Linked DNA regions of Caenorhabditis elegans. The protein of the gene in region 3 interacts with the protein of the main gene of each other region in a pairwise test. Each region holds a gene or a part of one and is shown on either strand. Other genes may lie near its edges. The genes, in order: flh-3, T22C8.3, ztf-16 and pax-3.

Region 1 (6,357 bases), on a different chromosome or scaffold from region 3:
AACGAGAAAGACGATTTGTTTTGATAGGTTCTTATATTCAGTTACAAAAACTTAAAGTCGATTACTCTGTTGTTAGATTTTTTAAAAATATTTTATAACAACCTAATTTTTACCTTTGTTGATCGTTCAGAATAAAATTTGTTCAGATCATAATCAAACTTTATTGCAGGTCGGTGCAACAGTTAAACAGCAAAAAATGAATAGATAATAATGATAACATAAATCAAAATATAATATCTTTTCCAAAATTTACTCGAATTCTCAAATAGTGCAGTTGATAGTCGATGACAACATATACAAATTGTGCTGACACTCTGGACATGGAAGAATACATTTTGCACAAAATAGAACATATCAATACTTTTGTTATAGCTTTCGTAAAGTGCAAGAGCAAATTTTAAGCCATCTTCTCTAAAAACCATTTAATGTGGCCAAGTATTTATCCAACAGAGAAGATTCAAAATTATATCCATTGTTATAACGCGGTAAAATGAATTTGTGAACTGTTCGTTAACTGAGAGCAATACTACCATAAAAATCATTATGAAAGCCGAAAAAATTCCATAGCAAAGCCATATACTAGTCAACGGAAGCATTAGAATAGAAGTGAATATGCTCTATGGCGCCGTTATTCTCACACAATTTACAAACCACGTTTGAGTGTAGATTGATGGAAAATTGAAAATAGGTAGTTAAAGGTACAACTCGCTTACTATTAGATGTGAAAAACTGATTGGAATCAAAAACCTAACCGGGTGACAGATCACTTTTGGAGCAATATAGTAATTTTGTATATATAACCTTACACTAAAAATGCCGCTTAAACATTTGCTATTTACATCTATCCGTATAATTGTGTATTAGAACAGATACATGGAAATTGAAGTTTTGAACTTATCCATTTGTGTTTTTTCTTTGAATAATTGCTATTTTAAAGATTGTGTACATTGCAAAAATGGAGTGCTTCTAGAAATGTTCATAAAGTGTGGACTACCTGTGGGGAAATTAATCAAAAAACCATTGATTTGGTATAATGTCATGATGAAACGTTTGAAAAATCCTGGAAATTTTTTTTTGAAAAGTTTTATTATGATATTTTGCTATTCAGGACCTGTAATGTGCTTTAATTATTTTCCCCACAGGCCGTAGTCCACCTTTAACAAGATGTCAAAGTTTGCCAGGGCGTTTCAGCCGAACGGCGAGGCGAGGAAATCTCTTTATGATTTCTCAATTGAACTTTTTCAATACTGATATTTATAAAATAACTCCGTATTTGGTTAGTTTATAAGTTAGAGAGATGAAGGGAAAAATGACAACCAAACAAGAAGAGGAGGAAGATTGGCGATACAATGAAAAGAGATCATTTGGAAAATAATTTAAAACTCGTGAAATACAAATTTCGAATCGATGAAAGTTTGGAATGGAGCACCCGATAAAATGAAAGTGGGTCGGGAATGAAATATTTGAGGGCAATATGCGCTCTTTAGTACAAATAACTAGCAATCGGAAGTACATTGAATATGAACTTGATAATAAAAATAAACAAAAACATAGTTAATTTAATCTTGAAGTTTGGAAACATGATGGATTTTCCAAAAGTTTGGTTTTGAGGAATCTAATCGAATAAATTCCTCGGTTCTCCATTGATCGATCATTTGCTGTGATAGGGGAACATTGATTTTGGATGAAATATTCATCATTAGTGAACGATTGGATACTTTTTGAAGGTGTTCTTGAATTGCTTGACGAATTGATTTCTGAAAAATTCCGATTTCTGTACTGTTCAAATCGAAGGTTCACTGTTTTACTTACCTCATTCCTTTCAGAAACTCGAATCATTTGAAATACTGAATCATTTTCATGTTGATCAGCCACAAAGAGAACTAGTTCATCATTGTGTGCATTTGGAAAGAATACTGGAAGATCTCCATTTCTGCTAATCAAATCAGTTCTCAATTCTCTGTTCTCCAACAAAAACTTTGTCAACGTCATCTCCATATCGTGTATTTCCATTTCTGAGATCTTGTTAAAAAGATCAGGAAGTCGAAGTGTGATTGGTTTACGTCCATCGCAATTATTTGTCATACTTAGAAGAATATTCATTGTTGAAGCATTCTTTTGTTCAGTTTTTGTAGAAAGAGTTTCATCTTCCAAATCAGATTTTGGAGTGAGAAGTGATGGTGGCAATAGGTTCTTGGTTTGTTGAGGCTGAAAAGTTAAACATTTTGATAAAGATAATTATGATTCCAACTCTAAAAAACAGCCTTAGGATGGTCCGACTCTAATGAAACTAGAAATAAAAAATAAAACTAACCCCATTGAGAGATAAGATGTGTCCTGATTTGACTTTTCCATAATCAATATTGTAATGTGCAAGATCAAAAGTAGTTGGTGGTGGATGATTGTGAACTTGTACTTTATGAATGACTCGTTCAGCATCAAATGGTGTATGAATACGTGCTGGACAAGTATTCTTTCGTTCACATCTGAAGAATCTCTTCTTGCTATCATATGAGCACTTGTCGAACACGTAGAGATGTTCATCAAAAAGTACACGTTCACGAATTCCACGTGGAGTGTACGGCTTCGAGCTGTTCGGTGAAGATTGTCTCTGAGCCTTGTTGATTTTTCCGATTAGCACGTCTTTCACTGTCTGTAAATTGAAATGAATAAAGATTAGAAACGATAAATTTTAAACAAAAATATTACACTTTATAAATTCAAAAAATTGAAGTTTAAGTGAAAACTTACAATTTGGTCTTCATCGGTACTGCTCATAACACTGCTACTACTGCTTGGCTGTGAATCTGGAGAAGTCGAAGATCGGAGGACATCAACCATGATGGGAATTTGTTGTGTAAGTGAGTCAAGGATCGCCTGTTGCTGTGCTTTCATTTTCAGTTCTTCCATTTCTTTCTTCTTTTTTTCATCTTCTGAAGCTTTCAGTTTTGCTTGGTGATCTGCGTACATTTTCTGCAAAAGAGCCAGTTGACCATCGTTCAATTTTGATACGTAGTTCTTTGCCCATTCCATAGTTGCATTTCCTGTTTTTGCTTGAGAAATTTGAGACGCAAGGTTCATTCTGAAAAGTTAGAACATAAATGTAAAGAAGTAGAAAATAAAAGAACTTAAACTTAGAGATTACAGCCTGCACTGTTAGTTTTTTTTTGAAAAATGTGCGTAGATCACAAGACTTATAAGTGACCTTCAGAAAAAAAACAAAAAACAAAAAAAACAACAAAAAAATTCTAGAAAAATAGATAGTGTGACCTGAGAGTTATCTACCCAATTTTGCACAGAAACGTTCATAGATCTTCAAAAATGAGGAAATACGGTAGATGAAAATAATGGGAATGGAAGATGTATGAAGAATTAGAGAGGGATGAACATGTATTAAAAAACAGTGAGCTGATTAAACGAAGATTCAATACGAAGATTCAGTCGTCTCCGAAGCATTCAATACAAAGACAGTCACACATCTGTAGGGACCACAGCCAACGAAAAAGTGGTGCATGTGCGAGAGATGGATCGGAAGATCGGCGCGCGAGGCAGACACTGAGGAACAAACAATGATCCACTGAGTTTAGAAATAGACAGCAGCTGTCTGCTATTATAGTTTTGTATTAGATGAATTAATGAATAGGAACCAGAAAAAACGTTCGAGGATCATGTGTAACCTGCCGGGTTCCCAAGTTTAGAGGATTAATATATCAAATTGCAACGGGAAGAAATAGCATATTTATATTCAATACAAAGTTTAAAATTAATTAAAGAGTTTTCAAAGTTACGAGCTAAACTAGAAAAGTGGTTAAAATTGGGAGCGACGTGGGAGCCCCTAGATGGGAATGTTGTCAAAGTTAAAATCGCACTGCTAATACAAAAATATCGATTCGATGGCCGGGACGCCAAGCACTATCCTACTCTCATACACACATACACACACACGCCCACAAGAACGGACCACCCAAAAAACGGGGCGACGAGACTGGAGAAGAAAGAGAACGCTGTGATGTATGTGTGGAGGGGGAGTGAGCACACCACTGCAACACCATTGGCAGGGGTGAACTGGTCCGTGCGCAGACAAGCGCGCGCGGGAGGGGTCCTCCCGTCTTTTTGGCTCCCTCTCTGATTGTCTACGTCTCGCCGATTCACAGGCTCTTTTGATGAAGAGGACGCTGTCGAGGAAAAGAGGAACAGGCTGCGTTTTCGACGGTTCGCTTTGGCTACAAGAGAGGAGACAGGGAGAGATAGATAGAACCGGGAAGAATAACCTATATTTGGAAGAAGGAGTTGGTGAGGTCATTCTAGATAGGAAATAAACTGATTCGAGCAGAAGTGACAATATGCGATAATTCTGCAAGAGAGAAATTCGGAATCGGTTGGTAAGCAACGAATAAAAATTTCAGGTTACTGTACCAGCTTTTGGTTGCTTTGAGATAAAAAGTAGTCTAACACATAAACCCGTCGAAATATGTGAAATTCCAATTTTGATTTTCAAAGCACAATAATCCGAGTGGTTCAATAGATCTACTGTAAGACCTAGAGACCATCAAATTCATAAAAAGAGCCGCCAAACTGTTGCGTATTATCGCTCTAAACCTCTCAAAACATTTGGCAAAACATACACATTTATTTGCACGGGACACTAAAAAATGAGACGGGACCCCCGACCATCAGGCAGATGACAACAGTTTTAGACAACAGAATGAAACTGTGTGCAACAAAATGGAATGGTGGGGCATGTGAGAAGGGAGGCGATGTGCTCTATGATTGATTGAAAGACAATAGATCTTAATTGAGAAGAGGGCGACGATAAATTCACAATTTCTTCGATTGGTGGAAAATATAAAGTGATTAATTGCAGATGATTTCGGGGTTGGAAGCATAGAGTCGACATACAGGGTGGCTATAAATTATGGAAATATGATGCTATGAGACCATTCAGGATAGAGATAATTTAACTAAAATTTAAGATAAAAATTACCACTATAACCTCTGTAAAACTTTTGCTTTGGTTGCGAAGTCTTCCACCAAAACTGATTTAGTCATCAAACTATTGTTTTTTCAATGCTCGACTTTAATTTAAACGTATTTAATTATTTACAACTTCTTGGAAAATACTGTGAATATTTATTAAACACTGGAGAAAATCTATAATTAATGGAGATCCTGTATTCTACCGGAAACAAATTCTAAAAATTGGCTTTTTCCCAAGTCATCCGACCCCTTTCTTCGCTATGATCCCTCTTTTCAATATTCCAGGTCAGCCCCAACTCTCAATACATTCCAAATTACGTCAGTGCCCCCGTTTCTCTCTATCGTCTCATATTCTTCCCTTTTCCTTCACCCTTCCACCATTCCCCCCAATCGACGTCTCCCGGGCGCACTCTGCCTCGTTTTTTCACACTTTCTCGATGTCTTCGTCTCTCTTTCTCCTATACTATTGAACCATCTAGTGAAGGTTCAAGAAGACGGGAACATGGTATGCATAATCTGGTACCTCTCTTTGGCATGTGCTCTCTAGTTAATGGTCGTTGGAAGAATAGAGCTGGAAATGGTGATTGATCAGCAAGATGTAAAAAACCTGATGATATAAATTATTTTGAGTACAGAGTAAACATCATGAAGTTTTTGATTCATCTAGCAGCATCATGAAGGCACTTTGAAATCTTAAAAATCGCTATAAATATTGAATTGAACATTTACTTTTTGAAAGTCAACTCTTTTTACATCAAGATTACTTTCAGTTAAACATTTCCTTTTTGAATTAACTGTTGTCAAAACAAAATGATAAAGTTTGTCTACCCACATCATATTATTTGAAGTATTGTATTTTTCAATTTGAAAAATCAGAAACAGATTGGAAAGTTTACACAATGTTTAATTGCCTACAAAGTAGTTGTGTTCCATACAACATTCTGGTATTTGATGGCCTTCCACATCACGTACAGCTTCACAAAATAGTGTGTTAAAATGAGAGATCATAGACAGAAAAAAGATGCACAACGGGACCATTGAATGAGTCGCCAAGGACAACACAGTGCATTTTTTCTAATCGATTAGTTATTTATTACTCTTTTATCAGGATGTTTCTTGTCTTGAGTAAGACAAAACTTAAGAGTAGTACTTCAAAGGATAAAACTTCTTTTTTTAAAATGAAACTATTAAATCGAAAAGTTCCCAATTCAGTCTATCCAAATGTATGTAGAACGGCCAATAAAACATTCAATACTCTAGGAAATTTTATTTTAAATGCAAAAATTCACAGTTAAAAAGTAGCGAATATCTAGCTTTCACCACTCCTGATTTACGAAGTCAATATTGCATTCAAAAATACAGGTAATCCTCCATTTCTCA
Region 2 (5,888 bases), on a different chromosome or scaffold from region 3:
CGACAGTAACCACCGTCCATTTTTTTTAGAAATCTTAATGTTACGGTATACTTTTTTTGAGCCCCAAATATCTCGTAACTCTTTGCTAAAGCAAAGAAGATTTCTGCTTTGTGAAATTGAATATTGATGCATTCAAGACAATTCGACCTCCTCAAAACCAATGAACCTGGACGATTAACGACGTGCACACGACGACCCCGAGAACCAAGTGACAAATGCTCGTTTTTTGTTTCGTTCGGCAGCAAAAAGTAAGAGAGATAGATGAAAAGATGCACTTTTAGAGTTTTAGAATCGCGGAGGTCTTGAGGGAAAAAAATGAGAATGGCACCTGAAATGACAGGCAAATTTCAGACTTAGATGCGGGGATCTTGTGAAAGTAGCGTTTCTCGCTAAATCTCGCCAACGAACGGTTTTTTCAAAGCAAACTAAAAACTGATACTTTGCATTGATTATCATGCCAGACGGTATTTAAGATTATTAAATGAATGACTATTAAACTGTGGGTGCTAGCAAATGTTCTGCACTAGCGATGTTGGGGCACTCCTCGGAATTTAAAAATAATTGCATCAAATCTCTGAAAATCCTTCCAACGGTGAAAAGTGAAACAGATGTTGCTAATCCGTTACCGTACTACCAAGAAAACCGAGAAGTTTCCGTCGTGCAGTATAACTATCCTTCATGGTCACTTACAGAATCGGTAAACAGCCACGGACAGGCGTAAGATTTTATGCACATCGTATTATACTTTGTAAGCTGTAATATTTTATTTTAACATAAAATTACTGTACATATTTTGCTTCCTCTATGACAGTTGCGTACCTTTCAGTATTGCACTGCTTCATCTGTTCTTTAAACTTATTAGCTTGTCATAATGTTGTCATAGACAGGCAACTTGCAATTTATATAATTATCGTTTATAATTATCAAATCTATCATTTTTACAAATTGTTCAAAACAGTTCCATTTCTATTGTTGTCTCTATTTCTCTCCCGTCTGCCAATACTATTTCACTGTCGTTGCAAGTGTTTTGTTAGTTAAAAAGGTCAGGTCATTTCCTCAATCTGTTCGCACCGTGCAGAGTATCGCACCGCAATAAACATATATCCAGAAGAAAGGAAAGATGACAGTCTTCTCTTTCTTGTTTCCCTCTACTTTTTGCTCACTTGTTGTGGTCATAGTCATCTGCTCAACATCACTCTTAACACATTGCACAACAGCTTTTTTTAAATTTTCTTTAAAATATGTCTTTATTTTGAGACATTTGCATCAAACTCCCGTTTTTCTTTCAGATATGAATACTAGCAATTCAACATCAACTTCATTTGGTAGTGATCAAATGGATATTGAAAATCACTCACCAAAGCTATCCGGTGTTGCTCCCAAAAGACGAAGAATTGATAAATCTTCAACTTCATCGGAAGCAAAGATACAAAGAATGGAAGACGCGATGAAGAAAAAATTGGAAAAGGAACAGAAAGAAAAAGCTCGATTGAAGAAACGAGAAGAGACTTTGAAGAAGAAATCTGAAACAGCTGCAGCAAAGAAGAACAAAATTGTTGGAGCTCGTAAGTTAACCAAAATAAATATGCTCAACATTCTGTAAATCACTTTATCATCCCACAATCAAAACCTTAACTGTTACCAAAATTGAACTCGAAAGGTTTTCAGCAAGCGAAGACCCGAAAATTCGAGCTCTCCAATGTGATATCTGCTTTGCATTATTTAAAAATGCTGATAAGAAAAAACGCCATGACCATTCTCATAAAGATGAGCCAGAGGTATACTGTCCAATGTGCAATGCTCCAATCAAGTATAAATACAACTTGAAGCAACATATGAACAAATGTCAACCGAGCCAGAAAGAAATGGAACAAGGCAGTGTGAGTTGAAACTTTTAAGCAAAATGTGTTATATTTTGAATTTCGAAAACTTTTTTCAGATGCTCGCCAAAGCTTACCCGGACTACTTACGTCAACTTCAAGAAGCTGCAGTTAATCCGTCTCTTCCAATGCCAACTTTGAATGGAATGCCATACAGAATGGATCGATATTCATTTGTCACTGGATTCGATATGAGTCTTGATGTTCATTTGGATGTGATGCTCCCGAAATATCCCACAGACGTTTTTGTATGTAATTTGCAGTTATACGTAACATTATGATAATAGTATTTTTTTAGTCAGAAGATGAGGACGCCTTAGACGATGTCAATTTGTTTGATGAGAAGTGATTAGATATTTGTATTCGTTATGGAATTTCATAATTGTCAATTCTTTGTTCATTTTGCCACAGCTGGTATTTCAATCTACATTTTTTCTCGTTAATAAACATCATACGGAATTATTTTTGAAAATTAATTCGAAGCATCAAACTTAAAAGTATAGCTTGGATCGGGCAAATAATTTTGGAACTTTAGCAAACTATATTCTCGTGTTACTAAACATTTTTTCCAGTGAGACTACCGCGTTCTTCTCTCTCACATACAAGACCCCCCACCCGTCCATTTCAAATTCGCTCTATTGAACTACATGTTTCAAACACCGCAAATTTGAGCTCACACAGCTGAGCTCTCATGCTTTTATCAGTTTTTTCTTCTCTCATCCAACTAAATTATCTGTTTAATTTCTCGATTTCTATTCGTTGGTTGTCATAGTGACGATCGATAATTATAATAAAGCACAAGGACTGATTATATACTCAAAAATTATGAAAAAATGCTTACATTTATACTTTGTCTTATGTACATTTTAAATTGATGATTCTTCATGAAAAGCTATGTACCAACAAACTTTGAAAATTTTGTTTCAGTCATGGCAACCACCGAACAACTGGCTAATACCACGCAAAAAGAGCCTGTTATTGATTTAGATCAAGATAGCAACATGGAAATTGCTCATAAAATACAAAACCAAACAAAAAGACTCCCAATTTCCGAACCGGCAAATAAAAATAAAAGTGAGATTTTAAAAATGTATGATTATTGCAATGCATGATTATTAATTTGTGACCTTCAATGTTTTCTTCATTTTTAAAGCTTTAGATGTCACAAGCAAGCAGAATAAAGAAACAAATAGAAAAACATTTGAAAAATCAAAAAGAATGGCAACGTCAACGATTCAAGATCGTGTTTTGAGGACTCAAAAAACTCGAAAAGACAAAGAAAGCACTACTGAAAAAGTCAATGCAATACTTAAAAAATCGGCGAAACAAATTAAAGTCCGAGAAGAGGAAGAAGGAGATGATGATTTGGAAGACGAGTTGACATTGTACCCATCTAAAAGAAAAATGATGGTAGGGTCAAAAAATCGAAAAAGGACTATAAAGCCAAATCGGGATACTATCGCAGAAGAGCAAGAAACTGACGGAGAACACGGAGTAAAGCAAAGTGAGTTATAAATAATAATATTTTTTAAAAATCTATATACATAGTCATCAAAAACTTATTCGGTTCATTTTCACACCTATTCAAAAAACAGAAATTAGCTTGCATATCAGATTTCGAGAAGAGTTTAAGTTTTGAATAGATTATAAAACAAAATATAAACGACATGTTTTTGAAATTTGGGGTAAATTGGCGCACTTCATATGTGATGAAGAATATCTCACTTTAGTTTGAAATTAGTTTAAACATCTATATTCCAGGAGCATTTGATCCAAAGCAAAGACATCGTCAATGTCCAGAATGTCTACTTCTTTTCTCAACTCCGGACAAACTGAAGCGTCATATGAAATCGCATGGAGACGTTCCAGATGTATACTGCTCACTTTGTAACACTCCTATTAAGTTTAAGTATAATTTGAGAGTGCACCTAGAGAAGTGTTATGATAAAATGAAACTCAGTCTACATGATAGTGTGAGTTTTCATATTAAATTTTAATAGTGGTAACGTCTTTACATTTTTTATTAATTTCTCATTATTTTGAAAATTTCAGATGCTCTCAAAGGTGTATCCTGATTTCGTGCGAAAACTTCAAGAAGCTGCAAAAAATCCCGTTCTCCCAATGCCAACTTTAGAAGGAATGCCATACGAATTCACTTTAAAAGGAGTTGTTGGATTCGATACGTCTTTGGATATCACTAAGGATTTAATGTTAGCAAAATATGAGCAAAAGAAACAAAGAGAGGTTAGTAACTATTAATTATTTGATTTTATTTAAAAAGTATTTTTCCAGTTAGCAGGAATTGATTCGGACGATTCGGACGAATTGGACTATTTTGATGATTTCCCAGATGAATGAGATTTTCCACGATAACGATTGCACGAATTGAAATTAATTTATTGAAAACTATACAACTTCCGCGATCTCTCACAAAATTTGCGGCTATTATATTTGTTCACTGTAATTTGTATTAATGTACATTTCATTCCATGATGAATAAATTGTTCAAAATAAGTTTAGAATATTCTAATTTCAAAACAAATATCAAGTGCAAATGGAAATTCATCTGATTGGTTTTAGCAATTGTATGTGGTGCGGTGTGAGATTTTGTTGTCGTGTGTGCATTGTTGCGTCTAAAATACCAATTTCCTGCTGGATACATCACAAAATAACCATGGCAAAGCCTATTTAATTATACTGACATTTTCTTAGTTTGAAAATATTCTGAGCAGAAAATACCAACAAAAAAACTACGAGTGCTGAAAATATTTGAAACAACGCAATTTCATATGAAACAGTTTTTTGTGAATCCTCGTGCAAATTTTACGATATTTATAAAATTATATTCATATCGAGTACTCGAGTACATATCAAGTAGATAAGTAGGCACACAGACAAAACTAAATATCTATTTGTATTTCTTATCTTTTTCTGTTCCTTCTCTCAATCGGATATTTTTCTTACTATGAAACCGTTTATCCACCTACGCAACAATTTTTGTAGCTTTGTTTTCTGAGGATTTCCTTCAAATTAACTGTGATCTAATTGATCATGCATATTTATGGCTACTGCAAACTTTATTTAGTACATGCGTGTTATCGACTATCTCATTCAATGTTTTTTAAAAAATTTTAAAAAGTTTAATTTTTTAATTTGAACTTGTTTCATTTGGACGTATTATTAAATACTATGTTTACTAGGTCTGGCGGAGTTTATGAAAACTGGTAGTGAAAAATAATCTGACAAATAAGTTCATAAATGAAACAGTTCACTGTTTTTATTTTACTTTGTTGGTCTGTTATCGGCAGTTTCAGATCTCTTCAACTTACCCTTTAGGTCCAAAATTGAAAACAATGAAAGTAAAAATGAAAAGCTAATTTACAAAGTTGCCTGTTTCAAATATAGACAAACGAAGTTAAATTTTATTATACATATGTATAAAGTACTATTTCTGATTTCTTTTTTTCATTTTTCATTCATTTCCATGCTATTAAATTTAGAATTATCTCATAATTTGGTTTTGTAGCGTATTTTAATAGAATTTTCTTGTAGTTTTTTGAATGTTTATTTGATCATTTGTTTCTGAAAAAATTTAAAAATCAGCTAATTTTTCAACGACCCATTTGATTGCCACAAGTGAAAAGACCACCTTTGAAGATAATGATCATTCTCATAAATCAATTCCAAAATGACATCATCATTTTGACACCTATTTACTCGAAACCATAGAATGTTTGTGATGGTTATGAACGCTGTGTACATAAATAAGTTTTCTCAAACACAGAAAACATATGGGAGTTTCTCAAACAATGGACAATGAGTGATCACCGATATTTGATACAAATCGACCAACTCGGCTCATATTCTCCAGGAGCGCTTCTTTTTGTTCAAAGGTTCATGTGATAGATTGTAAATTATTTATGAAAAAATCAAATATTCTTTGAATTTCATCAGAATTTTCAATTTTTGGAGTGAATTTTCTAGTAGGAGCTATGTCAGTGAGGTGAG
Region 3 (10,075 bases):
ATTATTGCAAACTGTTCAAGTCACATATTTCAACGCGATTAGTTACTGTGTCACAGCGGGATGTCAGCACAAAGGACATTAATTGAAATGTATGGAAAACTGAACAACGGCGTTGAAACATTGCGGGAAAATGAGATTCAGCAAGTGCAGTTTGTCAATTGAAGCTCAAACTTTGAAAAAGGAATGTAACGTTAAAACTTAAAAGTGAAGTAATGTATAATCAAAAAAAAAAAGTTTTATGATTTTCAAATTGTTCTATTTTCAAGTTTCTGTTCTTTCTGGGAATTTCCGTCGAAGATTGTTTTTTTATTTGTCGAAGATTGTTTTCCTATTGTTTTTTTTTGGAAAAAATTGAAAAAATTGAAAAAAAAAAGCAAACTTTGGAAAATTTTAAAACAATTTTTTACACTTCCGTCTTTGAGATTAAAAAATTTAATTAAAAAAAATAGTAATTCCTGGAAATTATCAAACTGAATATTCATAAAACGATATTTTAAAAAGCACCGGAATTTTTGTTTTTATTGTTTTCTGAATTTTTAAAATTCATAAAATGTAAAAATGTAACATTTGTTTATAGTTCAAAAAATATATTCAACAAAATTTTTTGAAAATTTTTTGTGCATAAAATTGTGAGGAAAAAATTGCAAAATTTCAGAATCCAGCAAGCTAATTTTTCATTCATCAAATTATGTGAATAAACATGAATTTTTAGGTTTAATGCGAAATTGTAAAAAAAATATGGCAAAAACTGGAAACTTCGCCAACCGTGTTTCTCAATCATGTTCTGTCAGATAACTGACGAAAGGCACCTGCAATTTGTGTTGTGATAGTTCTACTTTTTATCAATCTGCTAACAAATATAGATGCAGTTTGAAATAAAACAACAACCCATAAATAGTTCAAATGTCCTTACAAATGGCTATAAATAAAACTGATCTAGTAGTCGCTAATCTTGACAAAAATATGAGAAAGAGAGCCACTATTGTTGGTCCTGCAGAGCACAATGTTGATGCATTGGGTTCTTGGCAAGTCCCCGTGGGACACTGCCCAACTGAACCGGATTGTCCGTAGTGAGCAGCACACGACTCATAACCATATACGCTGGGCCAATGTCAATCACAGACTGCCTGCCAATCCATTTAGCCGTTTTCCTAGCCACCATGACTTTTTTCTAGTATTCTATTCTCCAGTATGTTTTCAACAAAATTTATTTTGAAATGGGAAGAAAATTGATGGGACAGTGGGACAGAGAGAAAGCTTGATAAAATTACTATTCTAATCGGAAAGAAATGTTTGGGATGGGTGGAACAGATAAGGAGGCCTTCAAAAATTCTGAATATCAGTTGAAGTTCACTAGTTTAAAATACATTCGAAGAAATCATTGAAATTGTACAAATTTTGATGAGGGGTGGTGGTGAGAAAGGAAAATAAAACACTAACAACAAAAACCTAACAATGCAAGGTTACGGAAAAAATTAACGGGTCCAAAATGACTTTTGACACGTGTGCAAATGAATTGAAACAAGATAGAGAGCAGAATCAGGAGAAGATGAAGAAAGTTTTTAAAAATGTAAATAATGATATTTGATGGTTTAATATTGATGAGAAATAGACAAAAACACGGGGCAAATACTTTTGATAGAGACAAAGAGCTGTTGAGAATCAATGAGAAGAAGCAGAATCATTCGTTGTTTCCCTGTTATGAAGAAAGAAAGTGACAAATAAAGAGGTAATCAGAATTGACTGTGAATATGCATCGAAAAAAACCGAAGAAAACCGAAAAAAAAAACAAAAATTAAAATGTGGATGAAAGAATGGGGGTGTTTTGGATTCGCTAGACTGACTACTAAAACTGAAAGGCAATCGGGGGGATATTTCTTGGATGATGGTGAATTCAGGCGGAAGTCGTTGCTTGAGTACTATGATCGGCAAAAATGACATGAGTAGTGAACATGTACTTCTCGCCGCACTGAGTTCCGCACAATGCGCATTTGAAAGGATCACCGTCCGAGTGAAGACTTTTATGGAGCAGGTACATTGTGTTGTCGTAGAACATCATTCCGCAATGACAGCATTCCTAAAATAATTCTAGAGTTAGATGCCATTAAATGAGTAACGGTTATGAGTGTTTTGAGTATATATACAGAAAGCGCACGAATTAACGAGCTTTGCAATGAAGTTTCTAACAGAAACTTTTTAAAAAGTTTTTTTTAATCGAAATTTGAATTTTTGAAAAAACCTGCCAAATTCTAGCTAAAAACTGCAGCAGTCCGAACTTTTTTTTGAATGGTATCAGCTGCTGCGAACCGGAAAAGGCAAAGGCCGGGCTTTTAGCTAAAATTAACTCTTTTTTTTTGAAATTTTTTGAGAAGTCTCATTGCAAAATGTTCAAAATACCTAAAACCTATAGTTTTCCTTTAAATTCAAATTTCGGAAGAGAAAGTTGATAGTTCTGATAAGGTGGGTGATGTAGAGAATCCATCATCCTTCAGATTTCAAAGAAAACTTGTGACATCTACGAGAAATTGAAAACCTCCTCATCAAACTATACATGGTGTAATGTTCGGTTTTTCTATCTCTTTTTTTAGATTTTTTCTCAAATGAGAACGTTCCGAAAGTTGCAACAAATTGGCAATCATTTAATCAGTCTATGTTTTTAAGGTTGATAAAACCAAATTTTGGCATCAACAAAGAAATGGATCAAAAGTCCCAATTTTTGGAAAAAAAAACTCTGTTGACGATGCTCACAATTCTAATTGCACTTCGAAAAAAGGTAAACAAAATGGTGACATTTTCAATAACAAGTTGTTATTAGCGATAACACATACCACATTCTCCTCGTCTTCTTTTTCGGGAGTCGGTGATTTCTCTTTTTCAGTTAACGAAAGTGATGACTCATTGGCTGGCGGCGAGTGCGACTGTTCACTCGGACTTGGAGCACTGACACTCACAGAGCTTGACGTCTGCTCTGACCAGAGTTGCACCTGATCCTGCTTCACAATCGCTGCCACTGCTGGAATGTTGTGAAGAGCCTGAAATGCAAAGGTTAATTAGCGAAAGTGTGAAGGTTTCATTGATACCGGCAATGGAATATTTGGAATGTTGAGCATTGGTCTTGGGATGTTTTCTCCGAATCCATTGAACTGGTTCATTTGGTTTAGACACATCAACAAAATATCTGGGTTAGCCATAGGGAAGCTTGGTGGCTGAAAATAAAACCATGGAATCATGGAAATGCTTTTTATTCAAAAAGAAACGAAAGAAAGATTCTTACAATTTTGTCGAATTCAGAACTTGTGGAGTTATCGGAGGTGTCGGTGTTTGGAGGGCTAAACTCTGATTTCACCATTCTTTGCAACTGTTCTGTTATGCTCATGTTCGCAGGATCCATTGGCAAAGCATTTCCATTCGACAGCTTCTTCCTTTTTGGCGTGTTTTCTTTTTTCGGAGAAGACTGAAAATCAGAATGAGAAATAAGAGTTCACGTTCAGGATATCACATGATGAGAGAGATTCCACGGAAAGTGCGTCTCTTGGGGCAACCGAATTAAGCTCCGAGAACGAGAAAAACATCACCTAATAAGGCTCAGGTTCTGCTCGCTAATCATGTGTTACGTTTCCGTGTAATCTGAAGTTACATCTCTTACCTCAGAATCGTCATGTCTTGTCTGGAAATGAAGGAGAAGACGTCGCGAATTGGCGAACATCAAATTACATCGCTTACATGACGCGGGATTTGTTGACGAAATTGTGTGCGTTTCTTCCAAGTGTGCTCGGAGTGCATTGTGCTGACTAAACTGCATGTTACATTGTGATACTGGACAGTCGAAACCAAAACCCGTTTTGATATGTGTCATTGAATGCTCTTGCATCTGAAAGTTATAGGTTTATTTTAAGTTACATGTTTAAAACATGACTACGGTATGTTTTTAACATCTAAAAATCGGTTTTCACTTTCACACAATATTACAATTTACAATTTTCTCTGGTTTTCTCCTCGCCCCGCAACCTTTGTCTTTCATTATAAAAACCCCTTTTGATGCGAGCGAGGGTGATGGCTTTCAACTTTTCGGGAACCAATCAGAGACGCAGCTAGAACAAAAAAAAAACCGCCGACGGTTGGTATTTCTTCTTTTTTTTACTGATTGGCCCTGGGGGTAAGGTACACAGTAAAGAGCGGCAAAAATATGGAGACATCGAGAAGATGCTAGAAGGTAGGATGGGAGGTAGGATCTTCCGAAGAAAATGCGCGTGCTATCGTCAAGGTCTTTTACTTCTCATCTTCACCAACGTCGTCGGATAGTATGAAGAATCGGAGAAGAAAGACGCGCCAACCGTTTTCATATTCGACGGCATAACCTGACACCAATACCGTCAAATTGGTTCCCCCCGATTTTCCTGTTTTCTTCAGGCTCGTCGACCTTCAAGAACGGTTTTGGGCAAACAGATATCATCAGAGCGCTTGAAGAAATGGTTGATGGGCACTGCGGCAGTTCCCTGCCATCCATGGAAGAGACTCTTCTTATTTCCGGGAAAGTGAAAATATCCAAATTGAAAACGACCTTCAGGCGGCAATCCGCCGCCTCCTTCTTCCCTCAATTTCCCTTTCCTTACGGGAGATCAGTTTCACTTTCCATTTGATTACGTAAATTGAAGATAAAACACGATTTTTGAGTTACGGAAGGCGGCAGCGGCTTCTTACGCAACAGCCGTTAAATGGTGGGGCTAGGAGGTGGAGGGTAATAAAAAATATGCCAGACAAGCATACCTGATCTTTCCTGAAAAATCGTTTTTTGCAAAAACGACACTCGTATGGCTTCACACCGCTGTGGCGCATCCGATGACGATGCATGTTAGCCTGAAAACGCAACATTGATAAACCACAGGAAGAAAGTGAAAAGGGAATCAAAGAAGAAGATCAATCAGCACGATAACCATACTTGGAAAATCCAAATGATTCAAAAGTTGTCGAGTGTTTGAAAACCAGATTCCGATTCAGAAAATGTTTTAAAAATTGCTCACCTTCTGGCTGAACTGCATTTTACAGATGTCGCATTGGTACATTTGGCCTTGATGGCGTTCATGCGCTTCCTGAAATGTTCAAGAATCTTCACTGGTATGTCATGTGATTTCTAAGGTCATCACGTTTTTTGTACTGCCCCCGTATCTGGTCTTCCCGTTTCTTTTTCCAAAAACGCCTCTTTTTCCTCCCATCTTCTTCCACCCATCCCAATCTCTACCGCTTGATGTCACTACATAACCGAAAAAGGGAAAATCTATGTTTTTTTTGGTTTGGTTTCTCGGAAGATTCTGCCTTAACCAATTAGTATGACACCGGCTCACATGAAAGGCAACATCCTTAAGAAGAAAAGCCAATATATGAGGAGCCTGCCTCCTTCTCCCATACCACTCCACTACTACTCATCCCGATGACCGTTCGGGAAGTGATGGGATTGGCCGTCGGAACAAAAAACAGTAGGGTCAAGTGAGAGACGCAGTTAACTGGACAGTAGATAGAAAGTAAACAGTAGTTTGTGAGAAAAGCGGCATGGAGCGAGTGGGAGAAGAGAAAAGGTTCACGGAGTGTTGACTTACAGGACCCACCTTACAAGGAATTGATGAAAAGTGGAAAAGAGGGAAATTGAAAAGACTTTCATATCCATCAACAGATTTACATGCTAAAATTAATTTGTACCCTTGGGAACATGCGTAATAATGTACTGAAAGTATCTTTCACTCTTCCGTCACCTATAGAACAAGAGAATGCTTTCAAGAAAACGGGTAAAAATCCTTGAACCTACCAAGTGGCTTTTCATGTGTTGCGACATACAAGTGGTGAAATTACAGTGCGGGCAAACGTGAACCGTCTTTTGTCCTTTGGTGCCTGGTTCTTCTGAAATTTTTAGGTTTCACAATTGCATATTGGTACTTGGTAATTAACCATCAATAGAAATACATTCCAGTGTGTAAGAAAATGCAATTCAAAGAAAACTTACTTTTGATGAGAGTGTTTGTGATTTCTGTTATCGAAATGTGATGTTCAAGATGTTCATCCGAGTCCGGACTCGGCGTTGGATCTGAAGGGGGCGTGGACCGTGGCGACGGCGTGGACGACTGAATACCATCTCCCCACTCGATTGTCTGAAAAGCCTTGGTCTCAATGTTTCTAACGAGTCTCAGGGGGCATGTCTGGAAGACGTGTTACAACGTCACATCCAACATCCCTCCCCTCTTCATTTTTTCCACGTTCTGTTGTTCCCTCACATATCTTCTCTACCTCTGGCACTAATTAGGCAAATATGGCATTATGACGCAACCTTTTTTCTATATCTCTCACTCACACGCTCTCACTCTTCTGGATGAATTTTACTCTCCCATAACATACCTGCGAGTTAGACATTTCTCCGCTTGAAGACCTGCTGTGCTCGTTTTCGTGCTTCTCTGCAAAAAAAAAGTATTAGGGGGTAATGTTGCTAAATGTGAAACGCAATAGAAGCGGGTTAGTTAATGGGTTGAAGCGCTCACTAAACCGCTACAAATCCGAATTTTTACGGGTTTGTCTCCGTTCTAAGATGAAAAAAAGATGGACAAAGCGCGGGTAGGTGGATGTTTCAAACGAATTGGCATTCATGTATCACCGAACAGGTTGGTTACCTATATGTCCTTGAAACTCGGAAAATACAGTAGTCGTGAATCCGCATTCTGTGCAAGCGTTCAGTTCATCCATTGTTGAGATCACTGAAATGATAACCATAGCAAAATGAAAAACCCTGACAGGGAATATCTGGTAATGAGACGAAAATGGGCGACAAAAAGAAGAACAACGAGGAAAAATAGGGGAAAAAAGCGAGGAATATGGCACGACGAGACTTGCACACAATAATCAGGTGTGTTTACGGATGGCAGAAGATAAGAAAGGAAATGTATAGGAAATGGTAACAGGCGGATATAGGAATATATGGGAAAATTGGAAAATGGAAATACTAAGAGTGACTGGAAAAATATGTATTATCGGAGCGAAAAAAGCGGAGGAGGGGGAAAAGGAGGAGCCGGATCCATAGGTATGATCACATTGACAAGCATTTACAACGGCTCGCCAAATTACTGGTTACGCGCCTGGATACGAATTTGGGGAGTAGGCAGTAATTTATGGATAGCCAGCTTCTTTAGCAACCACTGCGAGTTGGACTTGTTATGAGTGTGTTTGATTTAGCGAGAGCCTGGTCCACGGTTTTGAGAGCAGCTAGGTGACCTCGCCTAGTTGTTTGTCGTCTCGCGGCGGCGGAGGCGAAGAAGGACCGAGATACGGTTTCCGGGTTTGGCCAAACATCTCAACCCGATGCCTCCCCGTGTACTCCATAAGCTGCTTCTCCGGATTTGACTTGCACTCATAGCGACGAGCTACTGTGTGCTTACTATATTTGTAAGAGAAGTGGTAAAGTGTGTATTCGCTGGGCAGTAGGTATCTTACGGACCTTTACGAGGAGCAATAAGAAAAAAAAGTTGATGAACATTAAAAAAAACAGGAGGAACTAATATGGATTAATTATCGCATCCAGACATGGTGTGTAAGATACGAAACATCAAAACATATATACTATTACACAAAATTTGCATCATAAACACGAAAAAGAGATTTGATGGATTGGGTGGATAGGGTAAAAATGTTATAAAATGAAAATTTTCAATGATCAAAATCTGAAACCAGCACAAAAATAAGATTCAGGAACCTGAGAAAAAAGAACAGGATCTCAAGGAAGGCAAAGTAATGCCAGGTGGATTATAGCACAATTATGTTGATGATTGCATGGCTGTGTGTCTATACTGGATTACTGTCAATTGCGCGTAACCACCACTACAAGTTCGAGACTAGCAGGAAGGTGGTCTAGATGGACAGATGGTGCTAACAGGTAATTGAGATGGGTGAAGTGACTGGAGAGCAAACTCGCATCTAGTATGACGTTACGTTTGCGGAGGAGAACGGTAAGATTGCGATACATAAATCTAGGTTCTATGTTTTAGGTTCTAGGATAGGAAGAGAAATTTGGGGTGTGAGGAATGGTGGGGAGCAAATATGGAGTGAAGGAATCTCTGGGGGTGGGGCACCGCAGGCATTGGATACGGTAGAACTAAAAGTGCAAAAGCTGGCAAACTGATATGGGGCGGATTACACCTGGGGGTGGCAGGGCGGAAAAACGACTTTACGCGGATGGCAATGAAAAAATGAGATGGCGGGGATCGAGGGGGGGAGGAGGTGACGGTTTCTGAATGGCATTTACAAGAAGAGAGAAAGGGGGTGAGATAGTGCGTGTGTCGCGGGGTGCCAAACAAGCTTTTTTGGGAATACGATGAAGAAAAAAGAAGAAAAACGATGTAGAAGAAGAAACTGTCGATGGCAGCAGCAGCGGCAGTGGCGGCAGGCAGCAACGGGCATCATCTCTATCTGTCGCCCGGGGGCGCAAGATGTAAAGAAAAAATCGAGCTGCGCGCACCTCATCAGAAAAACGCAGCGCCCACCCCCACACACACACACACACTCACACCGTTTCGTTCGGAAGAAAGAGAATGAAAAAATTGGAGAGAAGGCACTGGGGGAGAGGGGATGCCGTTGCGGGTGGCCTAGAAGGTCGGCAAGGTTAAAGTGAAGACGACGGGATCTTTTCAGACCATACTAGCTGCAGCAGGGAGACTTCCTCCCTCTCCGCACTATGTCTCCTCCTTACGATGGAGAAAAAAACCCGGTTTTTTGTGGCAGTGAGAAGAGCGTCTGGAACATAGTAATGACCTTCCAATAGATAAGGCATGTGGAATTACAATTGGATGAACATTTGGGAAAACGTCAAATGTAGATAAAAAATTGGAGGGAGAACAAGTGATTTTGACGATCTCGTGGTTTTCCAAGGATTATATATCATTCTAACATTATCTCTGTGGTTTTTTGTCCGTTCGGAAATGTTACAAAATTAGAAGACAAGGATGTTAGGAGAAGGTGTGAATGCTTGCATATGTGTCTTCTTCCTGTATGTTTTGTTGTTTCGTCTGAACGTATGATCAAGTCAAACATCTACAGTGTCACGAAGATTTTAGTTCCGAAATTGATTTTAATTTTCATGTTTTCAATTTGTTTTGATCTTTAATGAGTTATGAGAGCACCAAATTCACAAAAAGTACAATAATGTTTCAATAACCTTGGAAAACGACGTGAAATTTTTTAGGATGATAACCAAAAAAACAGGAATTGAAAAATTGACACTTTAGGTACCGACATACGTCCTCTCATCAAGAACCTTGGATTAGGAAAGAGATAGTGTGTATGAAATGTGAAGAGTGAGTCACGGAAAAAGAAATACAACTTAAAAATGAAATCAAGTATCCAGAAAAAATGTATCGAGAAGACAGCGAGACGCGAATTCATTGATTTTATTGAGTCAAGGACTAAAAAGAATTAAAAAAGCAATGGCCGTCGGATTTGATTATTCCGATTTGTGGAAGTTTCGGCTGCCCTGCGTTTTTTGATTGATAACTCTGGATAATTCGTCAGTTCTCTCTCTCGGCTTCTCTTTTAGTTTCAGCCTCAATTTCAAATCAAATTTTCGGAAAACCAGAGTCGAGATAACTCATGTCAAGGAATAGGTGGGAGGATAAATACGATGGTTATAACGGTCGAATGAGCAAGTTGGCAACGAGCTCATTAGCGACCGGAAAAGCAAAGGTATCAGTTTCGACGAATCTTCTATGCTATGGAGCTATTATGATGACTTGCCATCCATAGTGGGTGGAGCGACATGAAAAAAGAAACTACTTCAAGGTATGATAAGTTGACGAAAGCCTTGTGATAAATTCTTTGAAGCTACCGAAAGTGAATCATGGACCGCGAGTGGTTTGTCAAAACTCGGGCGCGAACATCAAAGGCGCCATCTGTTAAGAGGAACATCGAGATATTTGCAAGTATTAAGCATATTTATATAAGAAGGTCAAGTAAGTAGTTAGCGGAGAACACGTACATTTTACATGAAACACTGAAATTTAAACTTATCTAGATTAGGTTTCAGAAAGAAGGATTCCACCAGGGAATC
Region 4 (9,745 bases), on a different chromosome or scaffold from region 3:
TATCTGAAAATGATAATATAGAGTTTGAAAACGCAGTCGATTGCGTCCATCAGGAACCTCAGGAACTAAAAATGGACCGAGAAACATTTTTTTCTCTGATCCTTCATCTGAACACTTACCCGAATATTTACCGCTCATCTTTCATTCGCAACTGATATGGAATTGAAATCCAAAATAAATTTCGATGGAGTTGTCAACGTGGAAATTTAATTTTAATCAGAGCAAGATATTTTGAAAAAAGGGGGAATGATTGTCACGTGTTTAAATAAAATTTCCATGTATTTTTTTTTCATCCGTAAAAATTATTAACTTATTTTTATAATTTTTAGGTTTTTTGATCTATAAATTAATGTTTGCATAGAACAATTGCCGCGCACCTCTGATTTGGTGGCATAAGTTTTGAGCAACCCACCCCTCCTAATAATACACAATTTCTCTGTGAATTTTCCCACCTTCCCGCTTCCGTTTCACCATCTGGTTCTTGTCTCGACACGCACAGGTCTGAAAAGACTGAAATCCTTCCAGACCTGCCGTCTTCCGGCTAATTACAACCAATGCCCACCACATGGCCTAAGATTACCTCGGCTCTTTTGTCGGGTGGGAGCAGGCAACAGTATATTTCCTAATCCGCAGCAATCTGCCACTTGTCGGAAGTGGTTGTACTCTCTCTTCCTTAAAGGTGTTCGATGTGACATGCGGGGATATTATCTTGTCACTTATAAAACACACTGCTAACCGTCTTCTTTTTGTCGACACTATCGAGTCTCAATTTCATTTTCCTTTGTCGATGATGTGTCAGTCGTTAATTTGCTAATTAAAGGGTGTTGATAAATTGAAGGCGTCCCTATCATTTTTCTAGTGATGGGATGCTAAAAAAAAATTGAATGTGGTGGGAAATATTGATGTTCTATTTCAATCTTTCTCTGCTGCCCAACCTATCATAGTCAATTAAGATTTTTTGCAGAACTTGAGAAGGAGACCGGTCGAAATCGAGCTGAAAGGTGTTTGGATTACTGTAGTCTTATGATGAAATACAAATAATAAGAATCCAGAACTTCGAACAATAAATGGAGACAGCTGTCAATAAGCTAAATTTTCAAGAATTTCATATTTTTAATTTGAAGTTAGTATATTTTCTAATGTTTCATTTCAAACAGTGTGTGCCTTTAAAGTGTTGTATCATCTATTTGAGAAATTACAATAATGACATAAGTATTGTAGAGTTTAATGAGACACTGTAACACGGTGGCTGGGACAAACTCTTTTCACATTTTGTCAACAAACTCCCGCACTCAGCCCATCAATTCTCCATAGATGATGCCCTTTTCAGATAGCGGAAAACCCCGCATCATCATCATCTCACACTTCTCCGGATAGATAGATAAAGATATATCCAAGTGTTACAAAGGTGTGAAGACCCCCAAAAGTTGACATCGGCGCGTGGCCCTTAATTATGACCGCATACCACTTCAAACGATACCGCCACCGTTTCTTCGTCCCCCTGATAACATGGTCCCAGATTATCAGGAAAATGGTGTAAGACAACCTTGCGCAATCCGGGAAGATGAAGAAGGAAATGATGATGTGACACGTGCCGAAAAAGAAATTGGGCCCTACTTGTTGATTGGGTAATGCACGTGTAGTTTTCAGGTGTTTTCGGTATTAAAAGGCTATTTGTATGGGGTAATAAAGGATTAATGACTAGGATTATTTCACATTATTTCACATATTTTCACGTTTTGTTTCTAACTGAAACTCACAAATAATTCTCCAATTGTGTAGTTTAGAATAGATTTATATCTTTAGACACCGTCGGTAAACAACTAAAAATACCATTATTCATCTCAATGACATAAACTTTCCCAACACGAGCCCTCCCAAACACCGACTCGCTAATTGCGAGCAATTTATTGATTGACAGTTCGCGGATGAACTTGTTTTGCACATTGTAGATCGAGATAAGACAAGTAGGTTCTTAAGTCGGGCCGACACAAAACAGATAGGTCTAAAAGAACGTCTGAAATTGAATAATCAGATAAGACAGAGTAAAGGGATACTGAAAAAAGAATAGTTATAGAAATACTTGAAAATCTGAATGAATAGAGGTGACAACTATTTTTCCAAACTTACAACTAACACTGGTCTCAAATTACAGATACATATATATGTTAGTTTTTTCAGATTTCAAATTAACCTACCCGTAGGCTGGTAGGCAAGAATGTAGTCGATCTTTGCAAAGTCATATCTTTAAATTTCTCATTGGAAATATTTGTACCGTATCCTCGAAGCACTTTTCCTCCTGACCTCTTTTGTTTGTAAAATATGTTTACACTTTTGAACACTGGAAATGAAAATGGGGAAATTGGTCATTGCCAACAAGTTACACTACTCTCGAAAGTTGTCTGTTTGTTCTATCTGTTCTTGTTTCCGTGAAATTGCAACTTTTGGAATATGTATGTTTTTGGTAATCAGAAAATTATTTTTGTGTTAGGTAAGTCCAACAAATCACATAATCGAAAAAGCAAACAAAGAAAGTAAACTTTGTCTGAAATCCATTAAGAAGCTGTTTTCAAATATTAGTAGCATGAATAATTCTAACGCTGTTTAAGCTTTTAATGGACATGAACGATTTTTAAAGTTTTGAAGTATTCGTTTCTGGTTCCAGTTTCATGTTAGAGTTACTTCTAGCTTCACCCAGAAGCACGGTGGACTGCTTAGATCTATGTAGCTATCTGCAAATATTTTGAATCTGCAAGATCCGCACGCTCCTAGATGTCCTTTTCTTCGAGACTATCCACAGGTGAATCACCATTTTGCAGGTGCTACTACCAAACATTGACCTTTCAAATCAAAACCATCGAGCACATAAATCTTCATCTCCAAAAATCCACCTCCTAGTCAGAATATCTCTGATAACAAACCCACATACCCCGCGCCAACATCTACTAGTACGTCCTTTGATGCTTACCGCCCGTGTCTTTCGCCCTTCTCTATGTCTCGCTGGTTTCGATTACCGTACTCGAGACTATGCATGCCTGTAACAGACCGCGCATGCGCATAGGTGGGCGGGATCGCCGTCCCGCCCATTCACAGTTCGACAAGGCGTGTCACCTCGAAACTACTCGCTCCTTAAGTTTTCACGCTATATACCTGATATTCACACATTCGGTATATTGGGGGCCAGCCATACGTGCTCCTGATATCCCATCCACTACTAACAAAATGACCACAGATTCTATCACATTTAATCACATTCTTGGGCAGGTAAGTCTATGGTTTCGATAAGTTGTTTTCTAGTTGTAGTGCATAAACTACTGCTCAGGTATTTTTTAATGTCTAGAAGTAGGAGATGTATCCCGGAAAAATTTGATTGAAGAAATTTTTGGAAATTCTAGATGGTTCTAGAATGTACGTTAATTTCGAATTATTTCTATACTGGCTCAGACGTTTTAAGGAGCTAAAATTAAGCTCTTGTTAATTATACAGTTTGAAGTTGTAGCCTATAGAAACTTTTGATTTATTGTTAATAGAGCTCATCAAGCATCACAAAAATTAGATAGTATCATTACTATAGTTAGCCTTAAGTTAGATTTTCATAGCATTTGAAAAGTTTTTGAAAATATGTTTTGAGTTTTCCAAGTCTCAATTTCTTCTCCTTTCTCACCGCCTCTATTGAAGCCCAAAATTAATTCAGGGTCGTGTTAACCAACTCGGTGGAGTTTTCATCAACGGTCGACCCCTTCCAATTCACGTTCGTCATGCTATCATTTCAATGGCCAAAAAGGGTATAAAGTAAGTAGTCCGAACTTCTAGAGAACACTAACAATAATCTTTTAGACCATGTCACATCAGTCGTCAACTCAAAGTATCTCATGGAGCTGTTTCGAAAATCTTGAATCGTTACGCCGAGACGGGCTCAATATCTCCGGGACAGGTCAGTGCATTTTCTGGATGATAAGATAATTTGCTAATTAGGTCATCAGGCAGGCGAATCATAACCATAAAATTTAATGTTTGCCTACACGTGCCGCGTGTCGTCGTCCTGATTCAAAAAAGTACCGTAATACTCAATTTTGGCGGGTCGCGCAGGTGCGACGCCCCGGGTGGCACTTTTCGGCATTTTTCAAAAAATGCGTCGGATGTCTGTGTTTCTGTTAAAGTAGTTGTTGTCTACTAGGTTTTTGGTTACCAAAAACATACGGTAATTACAATTCCAAAAAAAGTAAACTTTGAATTCTTGAAAATTCCATTTTGTTGGTTGCAAAACGGCAAAGAGTGTAGAACGGGGAGTGCAAATATACAAAACAATTTTTATTCATTTATAAACTTTAAAATCATCTCAAAAACAACCTGAAACTTTCCAAGAACTGATATCAAAACGTTTTCGGCAAATGACAACTTTGAAACAGTTTTTGAAATTTTTCTCGACTATTTCAATGCAAATAACTGATATTTTCAAACTGATCAAATATTTTTCTATCTATATTTCTACATTTAATTTAATAAAAAAAAGAGTTATAATCTGGGATTGGGCAGTTTTGTAGATTTGCCGAAAATATTCGTCATATTTCTTACATAAGCCTAGCGAAAGCAAATGCTTTTTAAACATAAATATCTATGAATTAATTTCAGATCGGTGGAAGTCCCCGCGCTCGACTTACAGTCCAAGCCGTCGAGAAAGAAATTCTGATCGCATGTGATGAGAATCCACAAATGAGCGCTGCAGAGCTCCGAGATTGGCTTATTCACAAAGACATTTGCACAAAAGGAAATGCTCCAACAGTACCTGCGATAAAAAGGCTTATTGGGAATAAAGGTATAATAATGATGAAAACTGTGAAGGCAAAAAAAAGGTAGAGGAATAGATGAAAAACAAACAGAAATTCGTTTCGTTTGATGAATGTTCCGCTTCTGATAGCTGTGGTTGTGTTTGTTTAACTGTTGACAACGATTTTTTTTGTTTCGAATACTTTCATGGAAACTTGCTTGGGCGTCATTTTTTGATGCGTGATTTTCCACAAAAATTCAACAAACCTCACAAGAAGAACTTCTAGACATATTCGATCAAATTATCACTTTCTATAACCTCATCAATCATTTCTTCACGCCAATCATATCATCTTTTTTGCTGCACTTTTTCATCATATCTTCCTTATCACTTTTTTTTGTTTTAATTTCCTTATCAATATTTATCTTCACACAAATCACCACATACTTTTTTGCAGGCGTCGGGGTTCCGAAGAAAATGGAACGAAAACGGCTGAGCTACAGTATCGACAGCATTCTGGGAATTTCAATTGGTAAGTGGTCTAATTGGAATAGTCTTGATTTCACACATTTATAATTTCGTTCCGTTTGTCTCATGTCCTCCAACACCTTTTTTGGGTGTCGGATTTCCTGTTCAATCAGGCAACATTCCGTTCTTTCAATTCAATTTTCTTCTGCCATATAGTAACACACAAACAGACGTAGCATGAAAGTTTTCATTCCTCCCAATATTCCCAAAGGGGCCAGAGGGCATACTGTATATTGGACTTCTTTGATATAATAACGGTCATTAACACTTTGATTAGTATCGCCTGTATGTCGCTGTGTATGTTAACGGTGTGATAAGACGATAAAGGCGAAGACGTTGAAGAAGTGGGGGCGGAAAGGACAAGAAGCGTCGGTGAAGAATGATGTGAATTAGACAAGGGGGCACGCGTCAGGGGTTGATTTTAATCAACAAGACCATCGTATTTGTTTGTGAGTTGCATGCTGTGCGCCGCCACGGAGATCTTCAGGGAGAGAACCATGACTGATTGAATTACGGGTTACGGTAGTGTACCGCATTTTGTTTCTCCTGATCTGCAACAAGCGTACCGGAATGTCCCGCGTGTCTTCAGGCCTACCTGTTAGCTTGCCTACTGCCTATTCGTCTACATCTTGGTGTGAAGTCTAGGGTCTGATGTTGCATTGTGAAGCCTATAGGTAGGTCGCCTTGATGTCCGGTAAGCAGGCACTTTTGATCCTAAAATCTTGTTTGATCTGTGCTCAGTTGTTAATCACATTCGGTAGGGTACGGTAGTTGTGCAAGAAAATCGTAATCTAAAGAAAGAGCATGTCAAATTCCAGGCATCATACGCCTACCTTGTAGGCACGCAGGCAGGCATTTTTATCATGTTCGGCACTCCAAACAGTTTCATTAAATCTTTGTCTGAAAATTCAAGTTTAACAACAGCTTTGAGACTGTTTATATAGAACGAATAAAAGTGAAATTTTTGGTTTTTAAAACTTCCAAAACTTTTAGCCTACTTTTTATAAGAAACTAGACAGCCACAAACTTATGTTTTTGCAAGTTACTTGAATTTCTAGGGGTCATGCCACTACCTCCTGCTGTTTCAACTTCTTGTCTTCCAAAACTTTCAACACTTCCCCTCTCTTCCTGTCCCGTTTTTTCCCGCTTCCTAACTTGTCGTCAATCTTGTCATTCCTTAAATTGTGAACCACCGCTCAACTTCGCACATTTTCGCATACACGTAGCAATTAAGATAGGGGGAGAAGATTTGCGCACTTGATAGGTGCCTATTCAAATAGGTAGGTAGGAGGAGGAGAAAACGATCCAATAAATTCCATATTTTCGCGGCCAATTGATCAGGATGGGCACACGAGTGACTGGCGCGAGAGAAGATTGGGATGCGCGAAAAAAAGCAAACACATGCATACGAACATAATACATATCCGCAATTTAACACATTAAAACTTTGACATTTGACATTTGACAATATGATTGTTAGGGATGTGGGTTACGGTATGTTGCGCAAGATCGTTAGTAGGTGTTGGTCAGCTTGCCTGGAAGGCAGGCAGGCATGACAGATCATTGTGAGCTTGTTTATTATCAAGTTTTTACCGAGTCCGAGTTACCCTCTCTCCACCACAAACCTTGAACCAAAGTTTGAACTCGGCGGTGCGGTAACGTGATTTTTCAGAAATTTCCCGAATTTGTCAGAATACTTCCATGATTTTCCACATGTCTATATTTCTATTACATTCATAAGTAACAAAAATTAATATTTTCCAAAAATAGGTAGCCGTTGAAAACACAACGCAACGACTGATATTTAGGTATCAGAGACTGGAGTGATAAAGTTCCAGGTGAAAAAAGAAATGGAAACAAAAGTTTCTTCTTCCTGGAATACGCTCAGAATACATTGCTCAATGGGAATATATTATAGCACTCCCCCGCGCCGTTCTTAATGAGCATTGGGAATTATAGAACGATATCGTTAAAAACTACAGTATGCTTAAGGGAGAATTCATTTTTGAAAATCTTACTCTACTCGGCAAGTAGCTAAAGTTTTCTGCAGACTATTACCAGAAAGAGGACTAAGTGCGGTAGAAATCTGCTTTGATTTGACAAGAACGGATGAAAAATATTAATGAGATAAAAGATCAAGTTGAGCATCCTTGAAATCGACATTCTTCAAATTAGAACATTGTATAGAAATAACCTTACCTTCCTTCCTTCCGTCACTATAAAATACTCCTGTGACAGAAACCGATTAGCGCACAGCTCATAAAACTTGGATGTGAGAAACGACGGTGATGATGGAGTGATCCGTCAAAAAATGGAACGATAAAAACAAATTAATAGGGTCCATTCCACCACATGATATCTCTTTCTCAAGTACACAAAGGTGTCAAGTCTATAAATTAGAAGAGACACCCCCCCTCCCCCACCCGCAATAGGGTCTCTCCCGATCTTTATCGATTATTTTTAGAGAAGTGTGTCTATGCGAGAGGCCTACGACATGACTGAGACCACCCACTGTGGCGCAACATTATATATAGTAATTGGGCGACTCGACTGGCAGGCCGTAGTCTTTCTCTGTTAGATACCTTACAATTGACTCATTGATTTCCGGATTTTGAGGGAAAATGCTTGATAGGCGGGGGTCTGATTTTGAATTTTTGAAATAGAACGTATGCGGAACTCAAATAATTTTCAGTCTCGAGGCAGGCGAGTCCGGAAGCCTTTCAGAAAGGCATTTCAGCATGCTCATTATTCATTAGAGCCTCCCTGGTATCAAATATATTCTAGTTGCAATAGTTACTTCAACTTTTGACGTCGCATGCTATTGAAAATGTTTGTTATTTTAATTACGCCTGGAACATTTGCCCTTTCGATTTTCAACGGATGAAAAAAATGGCAGATGAAAAATATTAGTTCCACATTTCGAAAGTCTGTATAGAGAGAGGATGTATAGAGTTTGTTAATGAAAATTCAAAAATGCATTCACGTACCCAAAAATGGTAGCTATGATAACCCCTTTCAAAAAAATAATTTTCAGACGAATGCAGCAAATCGTCATCGGATGACGAAGAGGGCTCTTCACCATCAAACGACGCATCGTCTCGTCGAAATCGTACATCATTCACTGCCGAGCAACTAGATGTTCTTGAAAATGCGTTCCGCGCAGACACTTACCCACATGCCAACGCCAGAGAGAGCATTTCCAAGGAGACAGGGCTCAGCGAAGAGAAAATTATGACGTGGTTTTCGAATCGGCGAGCAAGATGTCGGAAAAATATGCCAATGTATCAACAGTACAATGTTCAAGGTTTTGGATCATCTCCGCCGGTTAGTTAGAAATCGAAACTATATATTAGAAAACAAATTACTAAAACTTTGATTTTCAGTCCTACCCAACGCTGCTGCCTTCACCGATGATGTTCCTACCCTCCTACTCAACGAGTCCTCAATTGAATCCGTTATTCTTTCAACACATACTCCAATCAAGTCCCCCATCAAGTCAATCATCTCCGCCATCATCAAGCTAAACGCTTTGAACTTATTTCTGAACTTTCAAATAAAACCTGTGATATTTGAAAGTCGATCAGAAATTGATACACAAATTTAATTTGAAAGTCCAGAATTAATTTTAAAACATTACCTTAAGAATTCACCCATTCTTCCCAAAACTTATCTAAATCTCTTTGCCTTCCCTCTCATCAATTTGGTTTTAAATATTACGGTCATTGCACTAGTTCTTCGTGTTTTCTTCTTCTTCCCACTTGTATGAACTTGTCTGAAAATCTGTGAAAACCTTTTTCCCTATTCCAGATGACGCTATTGTTCTTGAGCATTTGTACAAGTTTTGTGTGCTCTCTCAAGCATTTGATTTCCATCATCTCATTCTCTCTCAAATTCCATATCTCATGAAGTAAAAAACACAAAAATAAATAAATATTCAGTTATTATTCCGGTCAACGATCACGAATGTTACAGAGATAACTAATAGACTTCAAATTTATTCAGAAGGCGGGGAAATTAAAGTCAATTTTTGATTTTATTACTAGAGATCACAAAATTTTAAAACCAGAGAAATATACTAAAGTTTTTGGGACTTTACGCTTGGCTTATGCGTGCGCTTTGAAATGTTATATGTAATTAATTGCAAACTCAGATTGAACTCAAACTCAGATTCAGATCGAAATTCAGGCCCACGGGCCTACCTCACAAAAAAACTTTATCAGAAGCTTGAAAGTTATCTTATTTATATTTTGTTTTCTTTTTTCTATCCATAATAATAATTTAATTTATATTCAAAACTTGATGATGTAACTACTACGCATCTAGATCATCAAATTCTACAAATTGTTTTTCAACTATAAACGGTTTTTGATGTTTGGGCGAAATAGTTTCTAATGTGCAGAGAAGATATTGAATGAAAAACAATTTCAGGGATCACCCAACGAGTAAGTG

What was found.
Region 1: the proteins of ztf-16 (region 3) and flh-3 interact in a two-hybrid assay, tested with the Caenorhabditis elegans proteins (one large-scale study listed by BioGRID).
Region 2: the proteins of ztf-16 (region 3) and T22C8.3 interact in a two-hybrid assay, tested with the Caenorhabditis elegans proteins (one large-scale study listed by BioGRID).
Region 4: the proteins of ztf-16 (region 3) and pax-3 interact in a two-hybrid assay, tested with the Caenorhabditis elegans proteins (one large-scale study listed by BioGRID).

Annotation. Positions count from the first base shown.
Region 1 is NC_003282.8:9,266,821-9,273,177, reverse strand, and holds flh-3 (FLYWCH transcription factor 3), read right to left. Parts: upstream 3,083-6,357; 5' UTR 3,082-3,082; coding exon 2,752-3,081; intron 2,654-2,751; coding exon 2,315-2,653; intron 2,209-2,314; coding exon 1,813-2,208; intron 1,758-1,812; coding exon 1,560-1,757; 3' UTR 1,240-1,559; downstream 1-1,239. UniProt on the Caenorhabditis elegans protein: Probable transcription factor. May bind to the promoters of target genes, including micro-RNA genes, in order to repress expression, and acting redundantly with flh-2.
Region 2 is NC_003280.10:8,618,896-8,624,783, reverse strand, and holds T22C8.3 (C2H2-type domain-containing protein), read left to right. Parts: upstream 1-2,800; 5' UTR 2,801-2,809; coding exon 2,810-2,954; intron 2,955-3,039; coding exon 3,040-3,384; intron 3,385-3,641; coding exon 3,642-3,853; intron 3,854-3,932; coding exon 3,933-4,124; intron 4,125-4,172; coding exon 4,173-4,238; 3' UTR 4,239-4,399; downstream 4,400-5,888. Other genes in the region: T22C8.4 (C2H2-type domain-containing protein), read left to right, coding at 1,292-1,565, 1,669-1,880, 1,940-2,128, 2,179-2,229.
Region 3 is NC_003284.9:4,804,800-4,814,874, forward strand, and holds ztf-16 (Zinc finger protein ztf-16), read right to left. Parts: upstream 6,742-10,075; 5' UTR 6,727-6,741; coding exon 6,654-6,726; intron 6,441-6,653; coding exon 6,385-6,440; intron 6,141-6,384; coding exon 5,996-6,140; intron 5,893-5,995; coding exon 5,801-5,892; intron 5,447-5,800; exon of another isoform or gene 5,309-5,446; intron 5,091-5,308; coding exon 5,022-5,090; intron 4,858-5,021; coding exon 4,768-4,857; intron 4,706-4,767; exon of another isoform or gene 4,565-4,705; intron 3,872-4,564; coding exon 3,647-3,871; intron 3,455-3,646; coding exon 3,275-3,454; intron 3,207-3,274; coding exon 3,081-3,206; intron 3,033-3,080; coding exon 2,829-3,032; coding exon of another isoform or gene 2,745-2,828; intron 2,078-2,744; coding exon 1,895-2,077; 3' UTR 1,199-1,894; downstream 1-1,198. UniProt on the Caenorhabditis elegans protein: Positively regulates the expression of ver-1 in the amphid sheath glia of amphid sensory neurons. Together with ehn-3, plays a role in somatic gonad development and is required for proper gonadal primordium assembly and somatic gonad precursor cell morphology.
Region 4 is NC_003280.10:10,143,626-10,153,370, forward strand, and holds pax-3 (Paired box protein 3 homolog), read left to right. Parts: upstream 1-2,944; 5' UTR 2,945-3,222; coding exon 3,223-3,264; intron 3,265-3,694; coding exon 3,695-3,792; intron 3,793-3,837; coding exon 3,838-3,934; intron 3,935-4,632; coding exon 4,633-4,816; intron 4,817-5,225; coding exon 5,226-5,300; intron 5,301-8,330; coding exon 8,331-8,620; intron 8,621-8,679; coding exon 8,680-8,820; 3' UTR 8,821-9,240; downstream 9,241-9,745. Other genes in the region: F27E5.3 (uncharacterized protein), read right to left, coding at 1-3, 453-567. UniProt on the Caenorhabditis elegans protein: Transcriptional activator. Regulates the lateral/ventral epidermal cell fate decision.